Callithrix jacchus: one gene and its partners. The protein of the gene in region 2 interacts with the protein of the main gene of each other region in a biochemical or structural test. Links are inferred from orthologs where the notes say so. Each region holds a gene or a part of one and is shown on either strand. Other genes may lie near its edges.

The links.
Region 1: the proteins of RHOA (region 2) and protein diaphanous homolog 1 form a complex in vitro, tested with the Homo sapiens proteins (2 studies listed by BioGRID and IntAct, with this or other methods). The link is inferred for Callithrix jacchus from reciprocal best matches to the Homo sapiens genes RHOA and DIAPH1.
Region 3: of the proteins of RHOA (region 2) and SMURF2, one has a biochemical effect on the other in vitro, tested with the Homo sapiens proteins (3 studies listed by BioGRID, with this or other methods). The link is inferred for Callithrix jacchus from reciprocal best matches to the Homo sapiens genes RHOA and SMURF2.
Region 4: of the proteins of RHOA (region 2) and ARHGAP32, one has a biochemical effect on the other in vitro, tested with the Homo sapiens proteins (3 studies listed by BioGRID). The link is inferred for Callithrix jacchus from reciprocal best matches to the Homo sapiens genes RHOA and ARHGAP32.
Region 5: the proteins of RHOA (region 2) and CIT form a complex in vitro, tested with the Homo sapiens proteins (2 studies listed by BioGRID, with this or other methods). The link is inferred for Callithrix jacchus from reciprocal best matches to the Homo sapiens genes RHOA and CIT.
Region 6: the proteins of RHOA (region 2) and PKN2 form a complex in vitro, tested with the Homo sapiens proteins (2 studies listed by BioGRID, with this or other methods). The link is inferred for Callithrix jacchus from reciprocal best matches to the Homo sapiens genes RHOA and PKN2.
Region 7: the proteins of RHOA (region 2) and ARHGAP35 form a complex in vitro, tested with the Homo sapiens proteins (3 studies listed by BioGRID). The link is inferred for Callithrix jacchus from reciprocal best matches to the Homo sapiens genes RHOA and ARHGAP35.

The regions. Positions count from the first base shown.
Region 1 is NC_133503.1:40,050,054-40,054,408, forward strand, and holds the start of protein diaphanous homolog 1, read right to left. Parts: upstream 2,819-4,355; 5' UTR 2,804-2,818; coding exon 2,609-2,803; intron 2,413-2,608; exon of another isoform or gene 2,353-2,412; coding exon of another isoform or gene 2,236-2,352; intron 1-2,235. UniProt on the Homo sapiens protein: Actin nucleation and elongation factor required for the assembly of F-actin structures, such as actin cables and stress fibers. Binds to the barbed end of the actin filament and slows down actin polymerization and depolymerization.
Region 2 is NC_133516.1:32,003,057-32,007,066, reverse strand, and holds the start of RHOA (transforming protein RhoA), read left to right. Parts: upstream 1-1,210; 5' UTR 1,211-1,398; intron 1,399-4,010. Other genes in the region: TCTA (T-cell leukemia translocation-altered gene protein), read right to left, coding at 99-153, 569-791. UniProt on the Homo sapiens protein: Small GTPase which cycles between an active GTP-bound and an inactive GDP-bound state.
Region 3 is NC_133506.1:89,826,385-89,829,984, forward strand, and holds part of SMURF2 (E3 ubiquitin-protein ligase SMURF2), read right to left. Parts: intron 2,330-3,600; coding exon 2,215-2,329; intron 617-2,214; coding exon 438-616; intron 1-437. UniProt on the Homo sapiens protein: E3 ubiquitin-protein ligase which accepts ubiquitin from an E2 ubiquitin-conjugating enzyme in the form of a thioester and then directly transfers the ubiquitin to targeted substrates.
Region 4 is NC_133511.1:28,684,685-28,688,284, reverse strand, and holds part of ARHGAP32 (rho GTPase-activating protein 32), read left to right. Parts: intron 1-229; coding exon 230-2,485; 3' UTR 2,486-3,600. UniProt on the Homo sapiens protein: GTPase-activating protein (GAP) promoting GTP hydrolysis on RHOA, CDC42 and RAC1 small GTPases. May be involved in the differentiation of neuronal cells during the formation of neurite extensions.
Region 5 is NC_133510.1:122,984,738-122,989,034, forward strand, and holds the start of CIT (citron Rho-interacting kinase), read right to left. Parts: upstream 2,815-4,297; 5' UTR 2,755-2,814; intron 1,726-2,754; exon of another isoform or gene 1,695-1,725; 5' UTR 1,682-1,694; coding exon 1,586-1,681; intron 1-1,585. UniProt on the Homo sapiens protein: Plays a role in cytokinesis. Required for KIF14 localization to the central spindle and midbody. Putative RHO/RAC effector that binds to the GTP-bound forms of RHO and RAC1. It probably binds p21 with a tighter specificity in vivo.
Region 6 is NC_133508.1:125,999,106-126,002,705, forward strand, and holds part of PKN2 (serine/threonine-protein kinase N2), read left to right. Parts: intron 1-1,074; coding exon 1,075-1,225; intron 1,226-1,818; coding exon 1,819-1,964; intron 1,965-2,060; coding exon 2,061-2,274; intron 2,275-3,600. UniProt on the Homo sapiens protein: PKC-related serine/threonine-protein kinase and Rho/Rac effector protein that participates in specific signal transduction responses in the cell.
Region 7 is NC_133523.1:40,832,146-40,836,498, forward strand, and holds the start of ARHGAP35 (rho GTPase-activating protein 35), read left to right. Parts: upstream 1-1,495; 5' UTR 1,496-1,810; intron 1,811-2,082; exon of another isoform or gene 2,083-4,353.

The DNA of each region.
Region 1 (4,355 bases), on a different chromosome or scaffold from region 2:
CACCCACCCACATATACATACACAGACATAAAGAGAAGTGGATTGCAATGCTCCTCCTTCTCTTTCATTTCCACAGAGTTCTCATAAAAAGAGCAACGAGTAAGACAGAATATTCTGATGCCTTGAGACAGGTTACATTTGGCAATACAAGGGTTAAGCAGCACTACTTTCCTAGAAACCTTCCAATTCCTAGCTACTAATGCAATTTTCCTCATTACCTGAGCTATCTAGTTTTAAAAATTCAGCAGATTAAGGGTTAAGACTAACACCGAAGAAAGAAAAGAGAACTTGGTTCAGCTCCACCCTCTCTAAAGCAAATACCAACAACCCTGAGCCAAATCCACTAAGCATACAGAAGACACCATGGACATTCCAAAACAGGTGAAAAGAGGCTTAGCTTCCTCAGGTTTCTCACCCTGCAGCACCACACACATAGTAGACTTCACAACTGGTGAACTAAACAATTGTTAGATAAAAATAAAACACACAGAAAAGTCTACTCAAGACTGGAAAACAAGTCACAGAGGTCACCACGAATCAGCAGCGATAGCTGGAATTCGGGTGAGGAAGGTCAAACAGTACCCATGGAAACAAAATCAAAACAAAAAGATAGAGAAATAGAAGGAATATGAGCCCTAGAACTTAAGTTTTGGAAGGAAAGCTAACCGACAGGTGCGGGGGCGGGGGGTCAATGCTGTGTTAGACACCAAAGAAGGAAGGGGTGTCAATACTCTTAACCCTATTATTTCTAGGGGGGAAAAAAGGTGTTCATCATATAAAAACAGGTGGTTACTGACAGCTCAGATGTCACTGGGGACAGTCCAGGAGCACTTGGTCTTACTAGGAACAGGAAGAGATGAGTCACGATTTTAATTCTGTTTAGAATTAAACACCTAACCCTCCAGGGTTAACATCTCAACCCTCTAGGTCACGAAACAACATTTTCTTCCAGTTTCTATCACTTTATCAGTTTTCTTCCCAAATTTGTGGAGCTGGATCAAAATGTTGGGAGGTAGGACTAAGAGAAAGAGGTAAGAGTTACAAGCCATTTGTTTAGTAGAAAGATACACTAGGCTAAGGGCATAAATACCTGGAAGAGGAGACAAAAGAGCTACAGTTATAACCAGCTATTATAATGATCATCAATATCCAAGACTCTTTTCCTCTTCTGGACAGTGCCCCATATCTTCCAAAGCTTTTATAGCAAAAAGCAACCAAACGGCTCCCTGGAGAGAAGCGTTGATGTGGGCAAAAGGTAAGGAAATACGATAGGGTTCCATGAATATCAATATTCCTTCAGACTCGGATTGAAAGTAACTGGCACTTGAGGAACGCAAAGGGATACCAGTAGCCGCTTTGGGGAACAAGAGGCGGTAGGAAAGGAGTTGAGGAGATGGTTATCACGGGAAATGCAAAAAAAAAAAAATTCAATTACAAACTTCTTGAACTCGCAGTCCAACTTTCTTCCCACAGGAGAGATTTATCATCATCCTAGGTCAAGAAGGGCTTAGCGTTCTAACCCTCTGAAAAGTGACAAGCAACAGGGCAAAGAGACAGGTTCTCTGGATAGAGGAATACTGTTAAGCAAATAAACGTCATGCCCCAGTGGCTCTAAGACCTGGGCAGGAACCTGTTCCCGTAATGGCAAGGATAAACGTCCAGAGGAGGGTGGGGTGGGTAGGGCTCAAGTCAGGTAACATTCCTGAGGGGAAGGATTATCAGGTGACACCGGGCTAAGGGCCCAGGGGGACTGGGCGGGACGAAAGTTAGCAGGTAAAAAGGATCAATCATGGAGAAGGAAGTGACCTTTAGGAGAAGGAAATACGAGAATACCAAAAAAAGGGGTAAGGGTAAGAAGAGAAAATGGACCCAGAAGAGGGGACCAAAAAAGAGGAGGCGTGTTCGGGTACTAGAGGAAGAAGAAAGGAAGTGAGGCTGAGAGGGGAGAGATGGGGCTGAGAGCCGGCCGGGGCTATGGGGGCGGGAGGGCAGACGTGCGGGCTAGGGAACGAGGGAAGCCCCGAGGTGGCCGGGGCAGGAGCAGGGTGAGACTCCGGGGCTTCCCGCTGTCCAGGAGGCGGAGGATGTCGGGCTGCAGAGCCGCAGACCAGCGAAACGAGGAAGGGAGGCGCGGGGGCGGCTCCCCAGAGCCGGGCAGACGCCCGTGGGGCCGGCTGCAGGGGTCCAGAGGGCGGTTACGGGGCCGGTCAGGAGTAGTGTGGGAGGGACACTCACAAATTTCTTAGATTTGCCGCCGTCGCCGCCCGCCGAAGGCAGCTCATCTGGGCTTCGGCCCTTCTTCTTGTCCCGGGTACCGCGGCCGGGCCCCAGGCCCCCGCCGGGTGGCTCCATGTCCCGGTTCACGCTGGCCGGTGACCCCGCGCCTACGCCGCTCCCGCCCGGCAGCTCAGCACCCGCCGCCGCCGCCCAGCCACTCTTTAGCCAGCCACCGCGCCCCGCCTCATTAGCATGCCGGGCTGCGCGCGCCTCATGAATATACAACGATGACGCCTCGCTCCCGCCCGCCTGCCCCACTTCCGCCCGGACCCGCAGCCCCTACCAATGGGGGAAGGGAGAGGGGTGGAGGGAAGCCGCGGAAGCGCGCTACCTGCCCGACGGACCTAACCATTCGGACCCACGTCGCGGGGTGGCGAGTGGGAGGTGCAGCTCTCCGCGGCCACGGCAGGGAGCACCGCCCCCTGGCGGTTGGAGCAGGGCAGGCCTCTCTGCTCCCACGGTGCGCCCACTTGGCTGTACAGCCGGACAGCTTGGACCCTGTCACACCCCAGACCAAAAATAGCATGAGACCATTATCCTGGCAGAAAAGTAGTGCCAGGCTTTGCATAAGAATGCAGTTTTTAATGTGTGCAATACCCATGGAACACATGAAAAAATTATGAAAGTGACAGCTCCCATGTTTTGAAAGCAATGTGCCAAGAACAGAGCTCGGTCCAGTGCAAGCACTGGAGTAAACCAGACTCGCTCTGGAGTTTAATTTCCTACAGAACAAACTAATTATTGCCAACATGTACCTAAACAGCAATAACAGTTACCACTTAACCATGCCCCTGATGTCTTCTAGGCACTATGCAAAACACTGTACATGTATTTTTCTAAGTCCCCACAGTCCCATGTGATAGATTCCGCTAGGCTCACCATTTTATAAATAGTAAATTTGGACTTTGAGAGTTGAAGTGACTTGCCCAAGAAGGCATAATTGATATAAAATTTAAACCCAGCTTAGTCTGATTTGCTGCCAAGCCCTATGTTTAACCAGAATTCCCCACTGACATAAACCAAACATGAAAGAATGGGTGTTCTCCAAAAGTATATTCTTTGCTCTTCTAGCATGACTTTCTCCCTGAGCAATTTCATCCACTCTCCTAGCTACATCTATCCCTGTGTGACAGTTATATGGCTACCAGCTGGCCATCACAATATGGACTGAATCATCTTGACCACAGCTAGCAAGATTTCAAGTGTAAGTTACTCAAGGGCAGTCAGTGACTTACTCACTCTAGGGCCCCAGTGCCTCGTCAAGGGCCTGAGATATACCAGGGACTCTGCCAGGCTGGCTGTCTCCTAAATCTGACATTCATCTCTCTTATGGTCCAGAGCTTCTAACAGTGACCTGATAGAATGTTACATAGAGTTGTCCATCCCATACTTCAAACTTGACTTAGTGTTGAGCTTTCCAGGCCTTTTGTCCAAAAAGTTCAAAAGCTACTTTCAAAGCTGTGTTGAGAACAGACAGAATCAGAGGATGGAGGGGAGGAAGTGATCCATTTATCACCCTTCTTTCTTGTGCCAGTCTATATCTGCTATAATATTTATCATACTACTGACTGGATTGTAAACTCTTCCAGAGAAAGGTTCATGTTTGTGGCTACTAACAGTACTTAGCATTGTTGTTTACATAGATAATGGGCAACTTTTTATGTCAGGCCCTGTGCTAAGCACTTCACATGTTTAATCTCAGTGTATCTTCACCAACTAGCATCACTACTCTCAACAACCAGATTCAAAATTGAAGTCATCAGGCTGGGCGTGGTGGCTCAAGCCTGTAATCCCAGAACTTTGGGAGGCCAAGGCAGGTGGATCATGAGGTCAAGAGATCGAGACCATCCTGGTCAACATGGTGAAACCCCATCTCTGCTAAAAGATGGGCATGGTGGCACATGCCTGTAATCCCAGCTACTCAGGAGGCTGAGGTAGGAGAATTGCCTGAACCCAGGAGGCGGAGGCTGCAGTGAGCCGAGATTGCGCCATTGCACTCCAGCCTGGGTAACAAGAGCGAAACTCCGTCTCAAAAAAAATAAAATAAAAATCGAAGTCATCTACTTCTCTCAATCTGC
Region 2 (4,010 bases):
GGTGGGTTTATAGCCTGAGAACTCCCCTATCTGTCACCAGGACAGGATAGTCCTTGGAACGCCAAGCATGGGGGTGCAGTATGGACAGATTTACTCACCACGAAGGGAAATGCGTGGAGCCATCAGGCGTGGATCCATTCTGACCACCCAGACCTGGAGGCAAAAACACATCCAGGGCTGCAGCAGGCTGGGGTGGGGATCTGAGCAGGCATCAGCCCAGGTCAGGTTAGAGGCCACTGGTATTGTTTGGTGGAGTCTGGTGAGGGTCCTAAGGGACTAATGGTATTGTCAGGTGAGAATTCCGAGCAATAGATACAATGCGATCGGTGGACTGGTGGGGATTCTGGCGTAAAATGCTATGGTGGCAGGAGTCAGGGTACAACGTTAGGTTCTCCCATCGAAGTACCCTGCTTAGCTTCCGAGGTCAAATACATTCAGGGTAGTAAGGCCGTGAACCAATGCTAAAATCTCATGAGCCTCTTGCAGGATAGTGGGGAACCCAATGGTACAGTTCAGAGAGGGTAGCGGCGGGGGCAGCCAGCCCACGGAGGTTCGTAGGGAGCCTCACCTGGACGGTGATACAATCCGGTCACCGTATTCCCGTAGAACCCCCACGCCAGCTGGATGCCCAGGAGACTTAACACCAACCACAGCAGCAAAAACTTGAAGAGGGTCACGCGCATGTCCTGTGCCTCCCACTCCCGCAAGAACTCGCTGCCCAGAGCGCCCAGCGCGCCCAGCACCGTGGCCGGCAGAGCCTGCAAGGCCTGCCCAGACCAGGGTTCCGCCATGACTGGCCCACGCCCCACCTGGGGTACTGTCACCGTAGTCCCCAAGACGCAGGCGTGCGGTCTTCCAGGGCCCGGCCCGTCAGTGCGCACGCGCAAATTCAGGCAGGGAGGGGACTACTTCGCATGCGTGAAGAGTTGGCAGTTTGAGGCGGAGTATTAAAACGGCGCAGGCGCACCTAGACCCACCCAGCTTGCTTAAGGGTTGAGCGACTCCGGGAGTATAAAATAGCAACCAGGTCTTTTATAGCCCCAGAGTTCCCGTGATGCCCCACGCGGCTGCAATGATTGGTTAAGCGTTTTGCTTTTAGGGCGTGGATGCGCTCCTGAGCAATCGTGGATGAGCTGTGAGTGCGCGCGCGTGCGCGGGGCCGCGAACGGGGCCGGCTCGAGCCCGCTGGGCACTCGGGGACGCGCACGTCGTTCCCCGCCCTCCCGCCGCCGCCCGCCCTCGCTCTCTCGCGCTCCCCTCCCGCTGCCCGCGGTCCTCCGTCGGTTCCCTCGTTAGTCTACGGTCTCGTCTTCAGCTGCTCGTCTTCGTCTCCGAGCTTGCGACTCGCGGACCGGCGTCCCCGGCGCAAAAAGGCTGGACTCGGATTCGTTGCCTGAGGTGAGCAGAAGGGTTCCCTCCAGGCGCCGCGGCGCCCCAGGCCGGCCTGCCCAGCACTCTTCCGGCCCTCAGGCCGCCGCCCCGCCGCGGCCGCGCCCCACCGGCTGCTTCTGGCCCAGCCACCCCTGGCCCCTGACCCTTGACCTGACTCCCAGCCCCGGCCCCGCGCCCCAAAGCGGCGACCCCGCCCGCGCAGTCCCCGGAAGCGCGCCCCGTAGTCTCCAGTGCCCCTTCCCCCGCCCGGCCTGGCCTGGTGGAGCCCAAGCCGCCCGCCCGCCCTCGGTCCCCGGCGCTTCCTCTCCCGGCAGTGCCGGGCAGGGCGGGGGCTCTAGGCCGGGCCCCGCGACCGCGCAGTGTGGCCGGTCGCTGAAAGCGCGCGTGGCTGTTGGAGTTGAAATGGGAAAGAAACTCTTTACAACTCCATTTGCCTTTTGCATTTAACGAAAAAACGTGAATCACCGTTTTATATTGATTGAGATTCAGTTATACTTTGGGTAGGTTTTCTTTTAATGCAGACTTCTTGAAGACTGTGTAAGTAAAAGATTGTATTGAAAGCTTAGGGATCTTGTCTATCACCCGAACTCACCCGAACTCGCCTGAAAGCTTTGGGGTATGTGTTGAGTGGAAAAGCGGTTATTTTCCAGTTGGAAAAAAAAAAAACCTGTAAATGATTGAAGCGATGTTGCATGAAAATAGATGCAGTATGCTTAGTCTAAGTCATTGTATTGATTAGGAATCACCTAAACATTTGTATCTTACTGATTGGTCTACAGTTACAGGTCGTCTTCATTGAATGGCACTATTTACATCCAAATTGATTTGTTCACAAACCATGTTTAATAGTTTACGGTGAAAAATTAGAATCCTTTTTACCTCAGAGTTGGTTATACTTGTGTTTTTTAATAGTTCTAATTTTAAATTTACTTCTGTTGACTTGTTTGGTTCTTTTTGTCTCGAAGAAAGTCTTTTAAAATAAACGTTTCTTGCAGGTGTGTAAGCCGATTATGTTTGATTTTGCCTTTCTGAAGGAGAAAAAATTGAAAAACCAAAAAACTTCCCTAATTTCAAATGTTGTATGTAGTGGGAATTTTTCAGCCACTTGGTGTCATCCACCCAGATGTGTAATGTGTACCACGTGGATGATTGTCACCTCAGATGTGGCTAGACTGTCGGAGATACTGTTTTGAGCAATTGGCACAAGTGACATTGGACTGAAAAAAGGCTAGTTTTTAATGGTAAAGAATGACTTCTTGAAGGATCTCTGGATAACTTATCTTAATTGGTTCCATCTACTTTTGTGGAGCACTACTGGCTCTTGGAGACATTAAATATATAAGATGCACCCTGGTTTGAGTTAAAGTCTAGCGCTAGACTTATTTTATTCATTTATTTAAAGACGGGGTTTCACCATGTTGGTCAGGCTGGTCTTGAACTCCCGACCTCAGGTAATCTGCCCTCCTTGGCCTCCAAAGTGCTTGGATTACAGGCGTGAGCCACCACGCCCGGCCCTAGCGCTAGACTTATGCTCTCTGATCTCATAAAAATCTGTGTTGGAGGGAAGAAGAGAGTAGGAATACTTTGTAGTTCTTGAATTTTAGATCGAAGAGGAATCTTTCAGGACTGGGTGTCCAGCAAATGGTGTCAGACCCCATTCACAGATGAGCAAAGTGAGTCCCAGAGACTTAAGTAAATTTCCCAAGATTATGTACCTAGTCAGGAGCAGACCACAACTGTCTTCTCATTTAAGGTATTATTTTCCATTTACTCCCAATCAGTTGGCCTGCAGAGTCAGCTGAAAATCAGGACTTCCAGCTTATTCCAGTGTTTCTTCTTTTTTTTTTTTGAGACGGAGTTTTGCTCTTGTTAACCAAGGCTGGAGTGCAATGGTGCGATCTCGGCTCACCGCAACCTCCGCCTCCTGGGTTCAGGCAATTCTCCTGCCTCAGCCTCCTGAGTAGCTGGGATTACAGGCACGCGCCACCGTGCCCAGCTAATTTTTTGTATTTTTAGAGATGGGGTTTCACCATGTTGACCAGGATGGTCTCAATCTCTTGACCTCATGATCCACCCGCCTCGGCCTCCCAAAGTGCTGGGATTACAGGCTTCAGCCACTGCACCCGGCCCAGCGTTTCTTCTTTTATACCTTGTTGATGGTGAATAGTTCTGAAAATTCAGAACTGTAAGAAATTCTATTCTGTTCAAATTCAGAACTGTAAGTAAAAGACTGTATTGAAAGCTTAGGGGTCTGATGTACGGCCATACCACCCTGAACCCGCTGGAGCCCGTCTGAAAGCTTTGGAGTCTGTAGTGAATGGAATAGGGGTATTTTCCAGTTGGGGAAAAACAAAACTATAATGAATAGAATCTGAAAAATTCATTTGCCAAACAAATTTCAGTTCATTAGCTTTCTTTCACAGCGTTCTCCCCTTGTTGAGTGGATGGTCCTGCCTTCAACTGCGGGAGCTAGATGAATGTACAAAGGTCCCTGGCTTGCCTAATCATGGCTTTATTAAGTGTTTGGATTTTTTTTTTTTTTTTGAGACAGAGTTTCACTGTTGTTACCCAGACTGGAGTGCAATGGCACGATCTGGGCTCACCGCAACCTCCGCCTC
Region 3 (3,600 bases), on a different chromosome or scaffold from region 2:
AATGACCTCTTGCAAAACAGAATCAATTCTTAGCTTAAATTCAACAATTAGCCCCTACTCCAAAAGTATGGTTCCAACAATCACCACTTCATTAAAAGCAATGGCAGCAAGAATTTGCTATTCTAACACATGCAGGTTTGGAACAGGATTTGCCTCACATTGAGGAAATCATTATATAAAGTACTTTTAAAAATAGAATATACTAGTTTTTTTTCCTTTTTAACGTAGAACGTAGTAAACTTGCTAAGTTTAAGGAATTTGAAATGCATAAAGAAGCTACAGAAAGGGGGAAATCTTATGTGATCCCATCACTCAGATAACCACTCAATATTTTCTGTGTATGGTCATTTTTTTAAGTACATCAGTTTTGAAACATTTTTTTTTAAAAAAAGCTCAGAGTTTAACTATAATGAAGCGATAGAAGACCCAATACATACAGTATCCACACTAAACTGTTATGAAGATCTGGATCTACTAACTCCATGTCATCCAAAGTAATTGACTTCCCAAGCAACTGCTTATAAAAAGGCAATGTGAAACCACCATCAATATAATGTCCATGAAACACAGCCATCCCCATTATTCGTCCAACAAAGTGGAAATAGGATAAATGTTCCTGAAATTGAAAAGAGCATATATACTTGAGTCAGAAATTACTCAGGAAAATTTTAATAAAAATGAAATATTTCAACATTAATATTTTGAGAGTAAGCATCAAATCTGTACTCTTCAATATAGCCAGGAGGGAGTATTTCTCTAGGGCATGCTCAGGAGTCTCTAGATCACCAGAGAACAACATATTACACAGGGTAATAGGCCCTTCTCACAGTCATTCTGTCAATTTTATCTTTTAGAAATTAAGTCCAAACTATGGTCCCCCAGCGCTTCATTCGGCTACTTGGAGATCCTTTTCTCTTCCTTCTCTCACCTCCTGCTGAGCCCTTGCTATGAAAAAAATCTTTCAATCCTTAACCTCCCTACTTCCTTGGCCTAACAAGAAATTAAATATCAAAACACCATAGATTTAAGAGCACAGATTTGGTGTCAGACTTGGATTAGAATCATGATTCTACTAGTCACTGGCATATGGACAAATTAACTCCTGTAGGACTAACTGTCCACATCTGGAAATAGAATAACAGTATCCATCTAAAAAAGCATCTCTATGAGGAGTAAAAGGTGATGTTTGAAACCCATGCAACTGGACCTGGCATAGGTAAGCACTCAATGAGTGTGGGCTATCATCACTGCAGTGGCAGCAGTGGGCCCTCCAAGCAACCTTCACCTCAAAATCCTCCCTAAATAATTTTCTGAAAGAAATCTAACATTTCTACCCTGTTTGCATATATTGGTCAGTCGTCACAGATTGTTTTGTTAGATGTTTGTATTTTTAAATTATTTTACCCATTTACTAAGTAATCTTTTAAGCTCCTCTTTAAACCTTTTTATCTTAAAAAGTTTTTCTTTTTTAAACACACACACACACACACACACACACACAATTTACCAAAGTTGCATTAAACTATTTCATAACCTTCTTTTCACTTACATCATAAACACCATCTTTCCATATCATTAACTATTATCTCACATTATTATTTTAGTGACTGTTTAGTATGCCCTTGTATGGAAAGACAAAATAATACAAAAAAACAGTACATTAGTAATAACTGCTAACTTCTGTTGAGTGCTTAATAATGTAGTCGATAGAGTTGTGGAGTTAATAACATACAGCACTGTGCTAAATGCTTAATGTACAGCGTCCCATCTAATTCTCATAACCCCTCTCCCAGGTACAAACGTATGTATTAGCAATGACAAAATTGAAGCTTACGTCCATGAACTTGCCCTGACAGGTCACAAAGCTAGTAAGTGATGAGACGATGACATGTCTTTCTAATTCCAGAATCTACGACTTTAATCACTTGCATTATTCTGCTTCATGTCATAATTTAATCAGTCTCCCCTCTTGAAGACAAGTGTGTTGTTTTCAGTTGGGGGCTACTATAAACAGTAAACATCCCTGTTTCCAAACTGTAGCATACATCCATAATCATCTGCTTGGGAAAACTTTGTAGAAGAGGAGTTGCTGAGTCAAAGGGTACAACTAGGACAAGGACAAAAATTTCTAAATAATAAACTATGTTAACATGTAAAGATGAAAAGCATTATAGGTCATAACTTAATTCACATCATCATAACAACAAATCATACCGGATTAACAGCAGAGTCAGGATTGATCTGCAATGTATAGATATCATCTCTTGAATATTGGAAGAGGCCATAGTATGGATTCAACATTTCATGTGACAAGAGATACAACCATTCCCTAGAAAACAAGATATGATCATGGAATTTTTTTGATAATGTATATATTTCTGTTAAGATAGGCCATTAATTAATCATTTTAGAAATAATTTTTTTAATCATAAAAGGCAAAAAAGCACTAAGTACAGTTATATAAGACCACATTGGGAAAAATCTACCATGCCCAAACAGCAAATAAAAACTCTACTTCATTACACTGAAGTAACATCTCACTCAAAATTTAAGCAATTTTATTATATTTTAGTCAGAGTATAACAGTATTATCCATCAGTTCAACTACTCACAAGATGATATAGTCTGGTGATCTGTTACTTTTTCCTTTTTTTTTGAGACAAAGGTTCCCTCTTGTTGCCCAAGCTGGAGTGCAATGGTGTGATCTCGGCTCACTGCAACCTCTACCTCCCAGGTTCAAGCAATTCTCCTGCCTCAGCCTCCTGAGTAGCTGGTATTACAGGAGCACGCCATCACACCCAGCTAATTTTTTGTATTTTTAGTAGAAACAGGGTTTCACCATATTAGCCAGGCTGGTCTCGAACTCCTGACATCAGGTGATCCACCTGCCTTGGCCTGGTGCTGGGATTATAGGCATGAGCCACCTCGCCCAGCCTGGTCTGTTACTTTTAATTGCCAAATAAATTTGTAATCCATAATAAACAAAACAAAAGGAAAAATATGGTTTTATTTCAAAATGTCTGTGTGAAGCTGGAGGCAATGGCTCACACCTGTGATCCTAGCACCATGGGATGCCAAGACGGGTGGTTCGCTTGAGCTCAGGAGTTTGTGACCAGCCTGGGCAACAAGGCGAAACCCCATCGCTACAAAAAATACAAAAATTAGCCAGGCTGGTGGCATATGCCTATAGTCCCAGCTACTTCGGAGGCTGAGGTGGGAGGATTGCTTGAGACCCGGAGGTCGAGCCTGCAATGAGCTGATATTGCACCACTGCACCCAACCTGGGTGACAGAGTGAGACCGTGTCTCAAAAACAAAGTGTCTACATAATCTGTACTATCCAGATCCACTATCATGGCAGAGTTATACCACGATACTATATAGACATATACTATAGTATTGATTTACTCTTAATTTTGGACAAGGGTATATTTTGTTGTAGTTTGTTTTTGTTTTTGTTTTGAGACAGAGTCTTGCTCTGTCACCAGGTTGGAGTGCAGTGGCGCAATTTCAGCTCACTGCAACCTCCCTGGTTCAAGCGATTCTGCTGACTCGGCCTCCCGAGCAGCTGCAATTACAGACACATGCCACCACGCCCAGC
Region 4 (3,600 bases), on a different chromosome or scaffold from region 2:
CTCTCATAAATTAGAAAACCTTGAATGGTTCTCCAAAGATGATACTGGCCATTGTACAAAGTAGCAGCATAAGCCTTCTTTTCGTAGCAATGGGTACAGATTCATTACAACCACATGGCTTGGTTCAATCTGCTACCCAACCAGCCTCAATTTGTGAGTTACAAATTTATTAGTACTTGATTCATAGAGCAAACAAAACATAGACCATAGTATTATCATCTTTCAATAGGTTCAAGGAGTAGTTCCAGTTCCAGAGAGGCCACTTGAACCTCGAGCCATGGATGATCCTGCATCTGTCTTCATCAGTGACGGTGGTGCAGCTGCTGCTCAGTGTCACATGGCTACAGCTGTCCAGCCAGGCCTGCCTGAGAAAGTGCGGGACGGTGCACGGGCCCCACTGCTGCACCTGCGTGCCGAGTCTGTCTCTGCGCACCCCTGTGGCTTTCCTGCACCACTGCCCCCGACCAGGACGATGGAGAATAAGATGACTGCTGCCATACACTCCAGCAGTACAGATGCCACCAGCAGTTCAAATTATCATTCCTTTGTCACTGCTTCATCCGCCTCTGTGGATGATGTGTTGCCTTTACCAGTTCCTGTCCCACAACCTAAGCATGCTTCTCAGAAAACAGTTTACTCCTCCTTTGCTAGGCCTGATGTCGCCGCTGAACCCTTTGGTCCAGAAAACTGTTTGCATTTCAATATGACTCCAAGCTGCCAGTACCGTCCCCAGAGTGTACCTCCACATCACAATAAATTGGAGCAGCACCAAGTATATGGTGCCAGGTCAGAGCCACCAGCCTCCATGGGTCTTCGTTATAACACATACGTGGCCCCAGGAAGAAACGCATCTGGACACCACTCCAAGCCATGCAGCCGGATCGAGTACGTGTCTTCTTTGAGCTCCTCTGTTAGGAATGCCTGTTATCCTGAAGACATTCCGCCGTACCCTACCATCCGGAGAGTGCAGTCTCTCCATGCCCCGCCATCTTCCATGATTCGCTCTGTTCCCATTTCACGGACAGAAGTTCCCCCAGATGATGAGCCAGCCTACTGCCCAAGACCCCTGTACCAATATAAGCCATATCAGTCCTCCCAGGCCCGCTCAGATTATCATGTAACTCAGCTTCAGCCTTACTTTGAGAATGGCCGGGTCCACTACAGATATAGCCCATATTCTAGTTCTTCTAGTTCCTATTACAGTCCAGATGGGGCTCTGTGTGATGTGGATGCCTATGGCACAGTCCAGTTGAGACCCCTTCACCGCCTTCCCAGTCGAGATTTTGCTTTCTACAATCCTAGACTGCAGGGAAAGAACTTGTACAGTTACGCTGGTTTGCCTCCACGTCCCCGGGCCAATGCAACTGGCTATTTCTCTCCCAACGACCATAATGTAGTCAACATTCCTCCGGCTGCTGATGTAAAGCACACCTACACCTCATGGGATCTTGAGGACATGGAAAAATATCGCATGCAGTCCATCCGGAGAGAGAGCCGTGCTCGGCAGAAAGTGAAAGGGCCTGTCATGTCTCAATACGATAATATGACCCCAGCTGTGCAGGATGACTTGGGTGGGATCTACGTCATTCATCTGCGGAGTAAATCAGATCCTGGGAAAACTGGACTTCTCTCAGTGGCAGAAGGAAAGGAGGGCCGCCACACAGCCAAGGCCATCAGTCCCGAGGGAGAGGACCGCTTCTATAGGAGGCATCCTGAGGCAGAGTTGGATAGAGCTCACCACCACGGAGGCCATGGTAGCACGCAGCCGGAGAAGCCATCCCTTCCTCAGAAGCAGAGCAGCCTGAGGAGCAGGAAGCTTCCCGACATGGGCTGCAGTCTCCCTGAGCACAGGGCACACCAGGAAGCAAGCCATAGGCAGTTCTGTGAGTCAAAAAATGGGCCCCCGTATCCCCAGGGAGCTGGCCAGTTAGATTACGTTTCCAAAGGGATTCCAGACACTTCTGAGCCAGTTGGCTACCATAACTCTGGAATAAAATATGCTGCATCTGGGCAAGAATCTTTAAGACTGAACCACAAAGAGGTGAGGCTCTCCAAAGAGATGGAACGGCCTTGGGCTAGGCAGCCTTCTGCCCCAGAGAAACACTCCAGAGACTGCTACAAGGAGGAAGAACACCTCACTCAGTCAATGGTCCCACCCCCTAAACCAGAGAGGAGTCATAGCCTCAAACTCCATCATACCCAGAACGTGGAGAGGGACCCCAGTATGCTGTACCAATACCAACCACACGTCAAGCGTCAGAGCAGTGTGACTGTAGTGTCCCAGTATGATAACCTGGAGGATTACCACTCCCTGCCTCAGCACCAGCGAGGAGTCTTTGGAGGGGGCAGCATGGGGGGGACGTATGTGCCTCCTGGCTTTCCTCATCCACAGAGCAGGACCTATGCTACGGCTTTGGGTCAAGGGGCCTTCCTGCCCACAGAGTTGTCCTTGCAGCATCCTGAAACACAGATCCATGCAGAATGAGCCCTGGGAGCAATAGAGTTGAAGCAGCCTCTGCTGGACAGTGGACTGTTCTATTTTTTTCAATAAGCAAAAAGATTAAAAAAACAAAAAATACTATAAAACTCCTGACAACATTTAAAAAAGATAATAAAAGTAAACAAATCACCATCTTTTTCCCCTTCCCTGCTTCATTACCACCTCTTCCATCTATAGACTTGTCATTTTTGTCTTTTAAAAAGATCTGAAGGATGGTAAAGCCCTGTGCTGAAACCTAGTAGAGAAATTTGTCACAGGCTATACTTGCCATCTAGGGCTAGCTTGAAAGAGCTTGAGGACTGCCTTTCACTGAATCTGAATTCAGCGTTGACCTTTCTTCTTAGTATTTGCTGAGAAATTGAGAGCAGTTCACATGGATTTCCTGGTAGGCTTCTGCATTCCCTGTTGTGTTCCTGCTTCTCCTTCCGTAGCTGCACAACTTGCCCAGATCGACACACTGTTCTCACTTCATTCTCCCCATCTGAGAAGGATCTTGTGTTCAGTTAGAGTAATGGAAAAATCCCTGATCCTTCAAGATCAGTCAGTCAGACAGTTAGCAATATTATAATTAAAAATAAGAAATTAAGACTTTAAACATTTGGTAGTGTCATCATAAAACATCAGACCAGTTAGACTCAGGCTAAACCATACTCTTTATATTTTTTTCATCCTTGTTCCTCACAGTTCAATGAACAGGCTCATTATGACAGAAGGAATTTTTAAAAGTTCGAATTTAAGGAAGCTTCTTAGGTGAAACAAAGTTAAGTTCTCATTGCCAGTGAACTTTGTTAGCACCAGTAAACTATATCCATGCTTTTATTGCATTGCCCGCCTTCAGGTTTTCTTCTTCTTCCACTCCTCAATAATATTTGGTGAATTGTAATTCTAGTAAAACATGTTATACCATTGATTTTCCTAAATTACCAACTTTCTTTAATTAAAAAAACAAAAAAAACCCCAGCATGGTTTGACTGGATAGACACACATAGTTTATTATGGACATAAATTTACATGTTTGTTTCTGTTTTTAAACCAGAGTACAGGGTCCCTGGGAATTATTTAAGTAGCTACGAGTTATCTATTATTAGACTGCAAGTTCC
Region 5 (4,297 bases), on a different chromosome or scaffold from region 2:
TCTCTACTAAAAATACAAAAAATTAGCTTGGCGTGGTGGCACGTGCTTGTAGTCCCAGCTACTCAGGAGTTTGAGGCAGGAGAATTGCTTGAACCTGGGAGGCAGAGGTTGCAATGAGCCAAGATCACACCACTGTACTCCAACTTGTGTGACAGTGCGAGACTCCATCGCAAAAAAAAAAAAAAAGCATCTTTCTTCATTTATTTTTCTTTCTTTAATAAAAGGACAAACTTGGCCTGGTGCAGCAGCTCATGCCTGTAAACCCAACATTTTGGGAGGCTGTGACAGGTGGATCACTTGAGCCCAGGAGTTAGAGACCTGCCTGGGTAACATGATGAAACCTTATCTCTACAAAAATACAAAAATTAGCCAGGTGTGGCGGCCCGCACCTGTGGTCACAGCTACTCGGGAGGCTGAAGTGGCGGGATCCCTTGAGCCCAGGAGGTCAAGGCTGCAGTGAGCCATGATTGTGCCACTGCACCCCAGCCTGGACCACAAAGTGAGACCCTGTCAATCAATCAATCAATCAAACAACGAACAAACTTTAGTACAGAAGTATAAAGTGTAAGAAATATGAAAAGATCTCCCTTCTGAGGCAAGTTCAGCTATCAACTTCTGCAATGTCCTTTTTCCAATACAATCAGTACATATATAAAACTCCAAATAGGGCCGGGCGCTGTGGGTCATGCCTGTAATTCTAGCACTTGGGAGGCAGAGTCAGGTGGATCACAAGGTCAGGAGTTTGAGACCAGCCTGACAAAAGTGGTGAAATCCCATCTCTACTAAAAATACAAAATTAAGCTGAGCGTGGTGGCACGCACCAGTAATCCCAGCTACTCGGGAGGCTGAGGCAGGAGAATCGCTTGAAACCAGGAGGCAGAGGTTGCAGGGAGCCTAGATCGGGCCACTGCACTCCAGCCTGGGCCACAGAGTGTGACTCTGTCTCAAAAAAAATAAAACAAAACTCCAAATAGAGGGCCAGGTGCAGTGACTCACGCCTATGACCCCAGTGCTTTAGGAGGCCAAGGCAGGAGGCTCACTTGATGCCAGGTGTTTGATACCTGCCTGAGCAACATAACAAGACCCCATCCCTACAGAAAATTAAAATCTTGGCCGGGCATGGTGGTACAGGCCTATAGTCAACAGAAGCCCTTGTTTCAAACAAAAGAGAATTTCTCCTAAAATATTATCCTTGGTCCTATAATAAAAGCAGACAGGGCGTGGTGGCTCACACTTGTAATCCCAGCACTTTGGGAGACCAAGGCAGGTGGATCACTTGAGGCCAGGAGTTTGAGCCCAGCCTGATCAACATGGTGAAACTCCATCTCCACTTAAAAAAAAAAAAAAAAAATACAAAACTTAGCCAGGCGTGGTGGCAGGTGCCTGTAGTCCCAGCTGCCCTGGAGGCTGAGGCAGGAGAATTGCTTGAACCTGGGAGGCGGAGGTTGCAGTGAATCGAGATTGCACCACTGTACTCCAGCCTGAGCGACAGAGTAAGACTCTAAATAAATAAAAGCAAAGGTGAGTGACAAGGAGGTTCCAAGGAAACACACAGGTGAGCAAAGTTGGCAGGTGAGGCTGTTACCTGGAAGAACAGATTCAGCCTGGAGGCCCGGCTGGCAATGGGTTCAGCAGCACCAGCATCCAAAGGATTCCTCGCTCCATATTTGAACTTCAGCATCTCCCCACTGGTGCTGAAAGGATGTCGGAAAAGCCAAGTGTGTCCTATGGTTTGGGCAGGAAGAGCTTGAGAGACCCTGATCTCCCTCAAGATATCAGGGGCAAGGAAGTGAAAATCAGCTACAACTCCAGTTTTAGGAAGCTCACTCTAATCATAGAGATTAAACACTAGATTTTCACTCACCATAACAGGAGGTGATACACTTATCTGACATACTTTCTTTCTTATAAATGTGTTTAATATCTCCCTCCTTAGAATGGAAGGTCCACAAGGGCAGAGATTTTTACATGGGGGCACACATACTCTGGCACATAGTAGGTGTGAATAAATAATTATTAAATGAATGACTGAAATAAGCAAACTCTACAGCTTGTTGGAAGGTGTTAAGTGCTATGGGGTAAAAACAAAACCAAGCAAAATAAGGACATGGGGGTGAGATGGTGCCATTTTTAGTGTGATCAAAGAAGACTTCACTGAGAAGCCACCATTTGACCTAAGACTTGAAGACCGGATGTGGGTGACCAGCAAGCCGTGAGGATATCTGGGGAAAGAAAGATATCCCTGGCCAAAGAACAGCCAAGGCAAAAGCCCTGAGACAGGACCTGGACTCTCCAATAGAAATAGGGAGGCCAGAGGGACTGGAGCAGAGCGAAAGAGGTGGGGGCATCAAGGAGGTGATGGGGTGGGCATGGGGTATGAAGACAATGAAACAGAGAGGTTAAGTAAATTGCTAAGATCACGCAGGTAATAAGGAACTGGCTGACTGCACTGGGCAGAATAATAGTTAGCGCTGACAGGAGGCAGAGCTGAAGAGATACAGGACTCCGCCCGCTTTAGGGAAGGAACATGACTCCCGCCCCAGCACCACCCGGCGGACCCCTCGGCTCCCAAGGAGGGTGGGCGCGCGCACAGACAGCCCGGGAAGACCCTCTAGGCCTCCAACAGCCCTGAAGGTGGAATCGCCGCCTTTCCAGCGACGGAAGGGAAAGCCAGGACTGGTGTGAGTGGAGGCAGCCCTCCCCTGGCCTTGCAGAGCGGGTGAGGTAGAATTAGGGTTAGAGGATCATACTCACGCTCAGCGGACCCCGCTGGTGTGCAGTGTACTCCGCCCCGCTCCTCCCGCCGCCGCGTTTGAACTCGACGAACGGCGCGGGCGGGTCTCCGCCGTGTCTGGACCAATCACCATGCCCATTCCTATGATAGACGTGGGCGTTTCAGCCAGGCCCCGCCCATGTCCTTAAAGGGACGGAGGAAGTGAAGGGGAGAGCCAATCACTTGTTTTTTCCTTTGACTCGCGACCAATGGGAAAGGGGGAAGGGCAAAGCCCGCAGGGCAGGTCTTGGAAGTTTGAAATTGGCGGTTACGCAGGATGCTGCGTTTGGGTACGCGACAGTTTATCTAAGATCCCTGAGGAGGTCGCCAGGGCGCTGTCCCCTGCCCTCGACCAGCAGCGAGGAGGAAGGCAGCCAGGCCTCTCTGCCTGGTCTTCTTGTCTCTCTCCTGTGGCTAAAGTAGAAGTACTTGTTACCCGGGAAAACCCGGTTGTTCTCTGCTACAGCTGAGGCAGCCAATGTTTTGAGCTTGACTTCAACTTGCCTTGATTACTGCATCTCCCAGCTGACTGCCGTGTAAGGAATTGATGAAAGTCATTGAGACCATTTGAAAGGACACTTTGAAATAAATTATATGCGAGATACTTAAACAGGCACTTCACCAAAAGGGAAATCCAGATGGCCAAGAAACGTATGAAAGGTGTCAGCCTCTTTCATAATCAGAAAATATGAAAAATAAAGTCACAGTGAAAAACAACACACACTCAAATTCGAAAACAAAAGGATGTGACAGTGTGTATGAAGATGTGGAGGTACACTCGCTTATACAGTACCCGGAGGCATGTAAATGGATACGATCTGTTTGAAATTTGAAAAAGAAAAGTTTGGCATTATTAACATTGAAGATTTGTGCATTCTGTAACTATTGCTAGGAGTAGTTTCTCTACCTAACAGAAACTCCTATTTATTTTATTTATTTATTTATTTATTTAGAGATGGAGTCTTGCTCTGTCTCTCACGCTGGAGTGCAGTGGCATAATCTCGGCTCACTGCAACCTCCGTCAAGTGATTCTCCTGTCTCAGCCTCAAGAGTATCTGGGACTACAGGCACCTGCCATCATGGCTGACTCATTTTTGTATTTTTAAGTAGAGAGTATTTTCACCATTTTGATCAGGCTGATCTGACCTCAAGTGATCTGCCCCTCTTGGCCTCCCAAAATGCTGAGATTACAGACCTGAGCCACCATGCCCGGCAAGCAACTCCTACTTAATGTATGTACACCAAGAGATGTGTATAAGAATACAAAATCGTGTGGCAAAAAACTGAACGCAACACAAATGTCCATCAGCAGTAGAAAAGACAAAATTGTATATTGCAGTGTTTTCATACAGCAATAAAAAAGAATAAATGGCAACTAGCCACAGACATAATGAGTCTCAAAATAAGGCCTAATGAAGGAAGCAAGACAATGACGTATGATTCTACTCATATAAATTCTCAAAGCCGACAAAATAAAGCAACATTGTTTAAAGAAGGATGTATTAGGTTGGTGCAAGTCGTTAA
Region 6 (3,600 bases), on a different chromosome or scaffold from region 2:
GCACACATGCACACACGTATATATGTGTATATACACAATGAAATATTGTTCAGCTTTAAAAAGGGGGATACTGGCCAGGCGCGGTGGCTCATACCTGTAATCCCAGCAGTTTGGGAGACTGAGGCAGGTGGGTCACAAGTTCAGGAGATCGAGACCATCCTGGCCAATATGGTGAAACCCCGTATCTACTAAAATATATAAAAAATTAGCCAAGTGTGGTGGTGCACGCCTGTAGTCCCAGCTACTTGGGAGGCTGAGGCAGAGGAATTGCTTGAACCCAGGAGGCGGAGATTGCAGTGAGTCAAGATCACACCACTGCACTCCAGCCTGGCAACAGAGTGAGACTCCATCTCAAAAAAGAAGCGGGCGGGGGGATACTGCCACATTGACAGTATGGGTGAACCCAGAGGACATTATACAAAGTGAAATAAACCAGACACAGGAAGAGAAATGCTGTATGATCTCACTTATCTGTGGAATAAAAAAAAAAAAAACTGAATAAATAAAAACAGAGAGTAAAATACAGTTACCAGCAATAGAAGTAATGGGGAGAAGTAGGTCAAAAGGTACATATTTAGAGTTAGGTAGGATGAGTAAGTACAGAGATCTAATATATAGCACGGACTGTAGTTAATATTATATACTGAAAATATGCTAAGAGAATAGATTTTAGGTACACATAAAACCATACACATAAAAATGAGTAACTGTAGAGGGTGATGGATTGGTAAATTTGTTTGACTGTAATAATCATTTCAGTATGTGTATATATACCAAAATATCATGTACACCACAAATATATACATTAAAAAATAAATTTAAAAAACACATAGCCGTAATATTTACTTTTCTTCCATACTGTCTTAACTAATGGAATTGTTTTTCCACAAACTTTACCCTGTAAGTTTTATGGCTCTTTTTTTGTAAATCTATAAGATTATATATTATAATGCTAACAGTTCTTTTAATGCTGTTTTTCACTTGCTGATATATCACTTGATCTGTTTAGAAGATATGAAAATGTTTCATTTGTCCCTTTATTTGCTTTACTTTTCAAACTTATTTTTTAAATAGGATCGGAAACTCCATGGTACAGCTCAGCAACTGCTCCAGGACAGCAAGACAAAAATAGAAGTAATACGAATGCAGATTCTTCAGGCAGTCCAGACTAATGAATTGGCTTTTGATAATGGTGATGGAATAAATTGTCCTTCTCCTTATGAGCGTATGGTGCTAAATAATCTTATATAGGAACAGGGCAGTGGTTCACAGTTAAGGGGGAGGAAGCATTATTATTACTATTTTTTTTTTTTCATCTTGAGTTTTACACTATTTAGTTGGATATTTAGTTGGCTTTTAGATATTTGGCCCTTATGTTTCAAGAAGATATTGATCTAGAAAGTATCTCTTCATTTAAATAGATTATCAAATACTTCTAATCAGTCTTTATTTTTTTTTTAAATTCTGTTTCCTGTTTAAGATTATGGCTTTGTTTTCTTTTGTTTTGTTTAATTCCAGAAGAAATCTTTACAGCTAGTTGCTAAGAGTAGGAGTAGAAACTTTCAGTCTCCCGATGTTACAATATTTGGATATCTTTCAGTTCTAAAATCTTTTTTTCAGCTTTGTAATTTAGATGTGTAATGACAAAAATGAAAGGCTCTGAATTTTAACATGTATCAACTATTATTATTTTAGTGTTTATTGATGTAGGAACTAACTTACTGTAATGTTATAATAATTTATTTCTTTTCACAATTTTAATCACTACGAATTGGAAAGCCAATAAATGGTGCAATTAAATTTTTTTTTCCCTTCTAGCAAAACCTGTGATAAGTCCTCTTGAACTTCGGATGGAAGAATTAAGGCATCATTTTAGGATAGAGTTTGCAGTAGCAGAAGGTGCAAAGAATGTAATGAAATTACTTGGCTCAGGAAAAGTAACAGACAGAAAAGCACTTTCAGAAGTAATTTTAAATAAAAATTTTTATTTGGTTTAATAAATGCATTATTCAAAGTATGTGATTATTTAAGTGACAACAATTGTCTTTTCTCTGTGCAAGGCTCAAGCAAGATTTAATGAATCAAGTCAGAAGTTGGACCTTTTAAAGTATTCATTAGAGCAAAGATTAAATGAACTCCCCAAGAATCATCCCAAAAGCAGTGTTATTATTGAAGAACTTTCACTTGTTGCATCACCAACACTAAGTCCACGTCAAAGTATGATATCTACACAAAATCAATATAGTACACTATCCAAACCAGCAGCATTAACAGGTATGTGCTGTATATCCTTTGTTTTTTGTGTGTATTTTTGTCTATATTTGGTTCTGGTTTAGTAATTGAAAGACAAACCTGTGCATAATTTTTTTAAAATGATGATAAGATACACATAGAATAAAATTTATTGTTTTAACCATTTTGATTTTATTAAATTTGGAAGTATTTAGTATATTCACAATGTTGTGTGACCATCACCACTACCTAGTTTCAAAGCATTTTCATCACCCCAAAAGGAAACGCATGACTGTTAAGCAGTCACTCCCCTTCCCCCTTCCTCCCAGCTGCTAGCAGCTACTAATTGTCTGTCTCTACAGATATGCTTATTCTAGATATTTCATATGATAGGAATTATATGATTTGTGACCTTTTCTGCCTGGCTTCTTTTACTTAGTGTTTTCAATCAGTAAAAGCATATTGTTTTCAAGCTTCATTCATGTTACAGTGTGTATCAGTACTTCAGTCACTTTGAATGTCTGAATAGTATTCCGCTTGTGGGAATATTCCAAAATTCAAAAACCTTTTGTGCACCCAACATGATCCTCAAAGGAAATTCTCATTTTGAAGTATTTTGGATTTGGGATTTCAGATTTCCAGATTGGGGATGCTTAACTGGTATGTATAATATAAACATTCCAAAATCTAAGCTACTTCTGGGCCCAGGCATTTCAGGTAAGGAATACTCAACCTTTACCATATTTGGTTGATGTGTTTGTTGAGCATATGGGTTCTTTCTACCTTTTTGACTATTGTAAGTAGTGCTGCTGTGAACATTTATGTGCAGGTTTTTGCTTGAACATCTGTTTTTAATTTGGGGGTATATTCTTAGGAGTGTAATTGCTAGGTCATAAGGCAGTTATGTCTAAGATTTTGAGGAACTGTCAAACTGTTCTTCACAGCATTTATATCATTTTATACTTCTAACAGTAATGTATAAAGTGGGTTTCAGTATCTCCAAATCCTCACCGACACTTACTATTTTTCTTTCTTTCATTCTTTTTTGATCATGTTCTGTTGGTTCCATTATTGGAAGTATTGTAGTATGTCTAACTGTTTCTGTAGAACTGTCTATATTTTCCCTTCATTTATGTAAATTTTTGTTTCATATATTTGTGGGCTCTGTTGCTAGGTTCATGTATGTTTACAATTTTTACATCTTCTATTTCTTTTTTTTTTTGGGGGGGGGGAGGAAGGCAGGAAGGAAGGGAAGAAGGACGGTAGGGAGGAAGGAGGGGATGAAGGAAGGAAGGAAGGGAGGAAGCGGGGAGGGAGGGAGGGAAGGGAAGAAAGGAAATCAAGCAATGAAAGAGACATTGCCGACCT
Region 7 (4,353 bases), on a different chromosome or scaffold from region 2:
ATTTCCACAGCAGCCCTGCGAGGGAGGGACGATTATTATTATTTTGAGACAGAGTCTCGCTCTGTCACCCAGGCTGGAGTGCAGTGGTGCGATTTCGGCTCACTGCAACCTTTGTCTCCTGGATTCAAGCGATTCTCCTGCGTCAGCCTCCTGAGTAGCTGGGATTGCAGGCGTGCGCCACCACGCCCGGCTAATTTTTGTATTTTTAGTAAAGACGGGGTTTCACCATGTTGATCAGGCTGGTCTCGAACTCCGGACCTCGTGATCCACCTGCCTTGGCCTCCCAAAGTGCTGGGATTACAGGCGTGAGCCACCGCGCCCGGCCTATTATCCCATTTTAAAGATAAAGAGACTGATGGCAGAATTGCAAAATGTAATAGGGAACATCCCTTTTTCATGCATTCCACAAATATTGGCTTGACGCCCGGGAAGTTCATCTTCCAGGATCCATACTTCCGGAGGAGTCCCAGAGGAAACACCTCTTCAGTTCAGAGGAGTCAAGGGTGACAGCGGTGCCCTCTCCCATCACTACTATTTCCCCTTCAGGCGCCCTAACTGACATTTGATTTGCAATCATTTGCACAATGCGAAGTGACAGGCTTGAGCTGCACATAGGACCAGGCCGTCTTCCCTCTCCTGGGGAATCAGATCACAGAACCAAAAACAAGTTGTATGGACGCGCGCGTTGCCTGCAGATTTTCTTCACCGCCAAGAGAAAGAGCACGCGCTCTCCAACCCCGCCTCTTCTTCCGGGAGGACGAATTGCGGGCCTCCGATTGGGGTGAGGCGGGCCACGCCTCCTCACAATGTCCAATCAGCTCCCTCGCTGGGTGCGCTCCCTCCTCAGCCCCGCCTCACCGCCCCACGTTACGTCGCTCCTAGTGGCCTCCTCCGTTATCCCGGGGGCTGCGGCTGGCGCGGCGGCAAACCCACCTCCACTTGCTTCCCATTGGTTGGTCAGGTCCCGCGCGAGCGGGATCGCGCCCTTCGCCCCCCACCCCCAAAACCGGGCCATGCCTCTCTCCTTTGGCTTTCTCCAGGAGCCAGCGCGAGGCGGCAGATCGGCTCCTTGAGGCGCGCGCAGGGACGCGCGCTGCTCTTGCAAGCCACTGCCTCCGCCCCGCGACAGCAGCCGCGCCGGCTGGCAGCCCCCCGCGCACGCGCACTCGCCCACCCTGCTCCCTCTGCTCGTTTGCAGGTTGCCTCGCGCTCGGTCTGGCTAAGGCGGCCGCCGCAGTAGCGGCATTTTTGGGGGACGCACGCGCACTGCACCGTCCGCCGCCGTTCCTGGCCCCAGGCAGTGGCGGTGGCAGTGGGATCCCTCGGGTGCGCACACGCTCTGACCTCTCCCCATTGCCTCGCGCTGGTTGTCCCTTCGGGGCGCGCGCTCAGGGGCCGTTATACCCCTGCAACGGTCCCCGGGCCGCGCACGCGCAGTAAGGAGGGGGCACGCGCGCGGGAGCGGCCGTCGCAGGAAGGAGGCGCCGCCGCCGCCATTGCGAGGGAGGGAGGGAGCGAGCGAGGCTGGTCCGCCCTCCCCCTGGTTCCCGCCCCTCCCCCCTTCCCCTCCCCGCCCCCCGCCCCGAGGGAGAGCCGCGGCGCGGCGGGAGGAGGAGGTGGAGGAGGTGGAGGAGGCGGAGGAGGGAGCCCGCGAGGGAGGGTCTGCCCGGCCCCCCGCCGCCGGAGCCGCCGCCGCCGCCGCCTCCGCCTCGGCCGCTGCTGGACTAGGAGCAGGGGAACATGGCGCCGGGGCCCCCGTCGCCGCTGCCGGGATCCTTGAGGCCGGGGCCACGCTGAGGGCGCCCAGCTGGTGAGTGCGCGAGCTCGCGGGCCCCGGGCGGCGAGGCCGGGCGCCGCCCCGCTGCGGGGTCCAGGGGGAGGCGGGGACGGCGGGGCCCGGAGCCCGCGAACAATGGAGGAGCTGGAGGGGGAGGGGAGGAGCGGCCCCCCAGTCCCCCGGGCCCCGCGGTCCCGGACTCTTCGCGCGTCGGCCCGGCCCGTGGGGCCCTCCTGCCCTTTGGACTTGCCCCTGCCCGCCCAGCCTTGCTGTCCCCGCCGCCGCCCCCACCCCCTACCCGTTGAGATCTCGGTGTCTGCCTCGCAGCCTCCCCGACTTCAGCCAACCGGCTCCCAATTCTGCGCCCCCCTTCCCTTTTCCGCCCCTCCGTGATGCCCTTCGCTCTTCGCGGGCTCTGCACTGGCACCCGCCTTCTCACTGACCATTCTGCATCCCTGAATTGTGGCTCCCACTTTCGAGATCCTTGACCCTTCTGCCTCTTCTCGATTCTCTTCTCAACACCCTTCAGATCTGTCCTCGGCCCCTTCTTTGACCTACCTGCTATGCTATTATTACTGTCTCAGAATCTGTTGCACCTTGGGAGCTGTCCCTTTAGGACCTGCGGTTCTAACCCCTTGGAGATCCATCGGAGACCACTGTTCGGCTAAGCACTGCTGCCCCAGGTCTTCCCCTTGGACTTAATGCCGTTCCCTCGTGGGTCCTACTGCTCGAATTTCTGTCTCTGCCCTTTCAGCGTGCTGCACCCCGGAATGCCCCTTGGCTGCCTCTCTGACCCCTCCGTGCCCCAGTTCATTCCCTGGATCCCCTCGGACTTGGCTGCACCGTGCTTGCCGCCTCCACTTCTCAGCTCTTGCTCCCGTTTGCCATTCAGACCCTTTCCTCTCTTCCAGACCTTTCCGCCTCTCAGCTCTGCCCCTTGCCGGACCTCAGGTCTTGCTGCGCTCCCCTCACCTGATTGCTTTCTGACTTTGCCTTCCCGGGGAGCAGCCTCCTCCCCCTTCTCTGACTCTGCAGGTCTCCCATTTCTGCCATTCACTTAACTGATCTCTCCGTCACTCAGTCTGCCTTCAGTTTCAGCCCCAGTGTTCTCTTGCAGGTTTCCTCTCCTCCCCACCTCCTTTTTGGCACTCCTCTGAGCTACTGCATTCATTTGCTACTCCTTTCTTTGGCCTGTCTCTCCTTCGGTTCTCTGTCTAAAAACTGCTTCCTGTCCCCTCTTTGCTCCAAGTCCTCTCTTCCCCGTTTTGGCCCTTAGACGTGCCCTTTAATCTCACTGTACCCTGTTAACTCGGGCTGCATCTCCCAGACCTGCCTACCCACCCACCCCCATCCTTTTTGCACCTGCACTTTCTCCTCTTTTTTTTTTTTTTTTTTAAATTCTGCTCCATCCTCTTTATTGTAGTGTTTGCCTCCCCAGCTCTGCCCCTTTCGGAGCTGTCCACTTGCCCGCACATTTTTAGACCCGTTTTTCACTTCTCTTGCCGTTCTATCTCGGAGTGGTCCTTTAACACCGGGATTCTTATCACCGTGTCCTCCCCTCCGTTCCCTCCCGAGTCTGAGTTTTCCCCCTTGGCATTCTCTTACCCCCACCATTTTGATTCAGCCCTCAACCTTCACTGTCTGCTTTCTTTGCCCACCCTCCACTGCCCTGTCTCTTCGTGGAGTTCTTACTCTAATTCTGACATTAAGATGTCTTCTTAATCATCCTTTCCTATGTATCCCGGCCCCCCCCCACCGCCCTTTTGGAGCTGCCTCAGCGCTGTGATAGATTCTCACTCCCTTTTGATGTCCCTTTCCCAATTCTGTTTCTCCTTGACTTGTTACCTTCCTCACCTTTTTTTTCTTTCCCCTGTATCCTGCCAGGCTTCTCTTCCCGTGTAGTTCCTATTAGACCTGCTTCTCGCAGCTCACCTGTGGCCCACCCATTCCCCATAGAGCTCTTCCCCTTTCAGGCTTGTCTTTCTCTGTTCTCCATCCCTCTGCTGCAGAGGCCAAGAGACTAGATTGGGCCTTAGGTTCTCCAGGCTCTGAGACTGCAGATTCTCTCTCTGCACCCTAACCCTGAGGGTTCTATCCCCAGGGATCCTGGGAGATCTGGGTAAATAGGTGGGGATTGGTTGATTGTTACTGCTCTCTGGAGTCTGGGAGTGTCTCCCCCATTTCTCCCACTTCTACCAAGGTTAGTAGTGTGGAGGGAGGTAGCACTCTTTCCGTTGCCCCATTTTCTTTCCTCTGCTGTTTGCTCTCCCCCTTCCGTTCTCTGGGCTTTGCAGCTTTGTGTCCTTTGGAAAAGGGAAATGCAGCTGCTCACAGATCTTTCTTCTCTTTCTCACTTTCCCTCTTTCCGTCTCTGAGCCATTGCATCCACCCTCTCTCCCCTTCCACCTCTAAGCCAGCACCCCTAGGAGTGTACTTTTTTATTTTTTCTTCCCAGCTAACAAGTCATTTTGTTTTTCCTCTGCTGGGTAAATGCCAGTGTGCCCGTTCTTAAATTCTCCAGATCCCGCCAGGGGTTATGGCCACACTTGGACCTAGCGGGAAGCCACTTGCCTTCC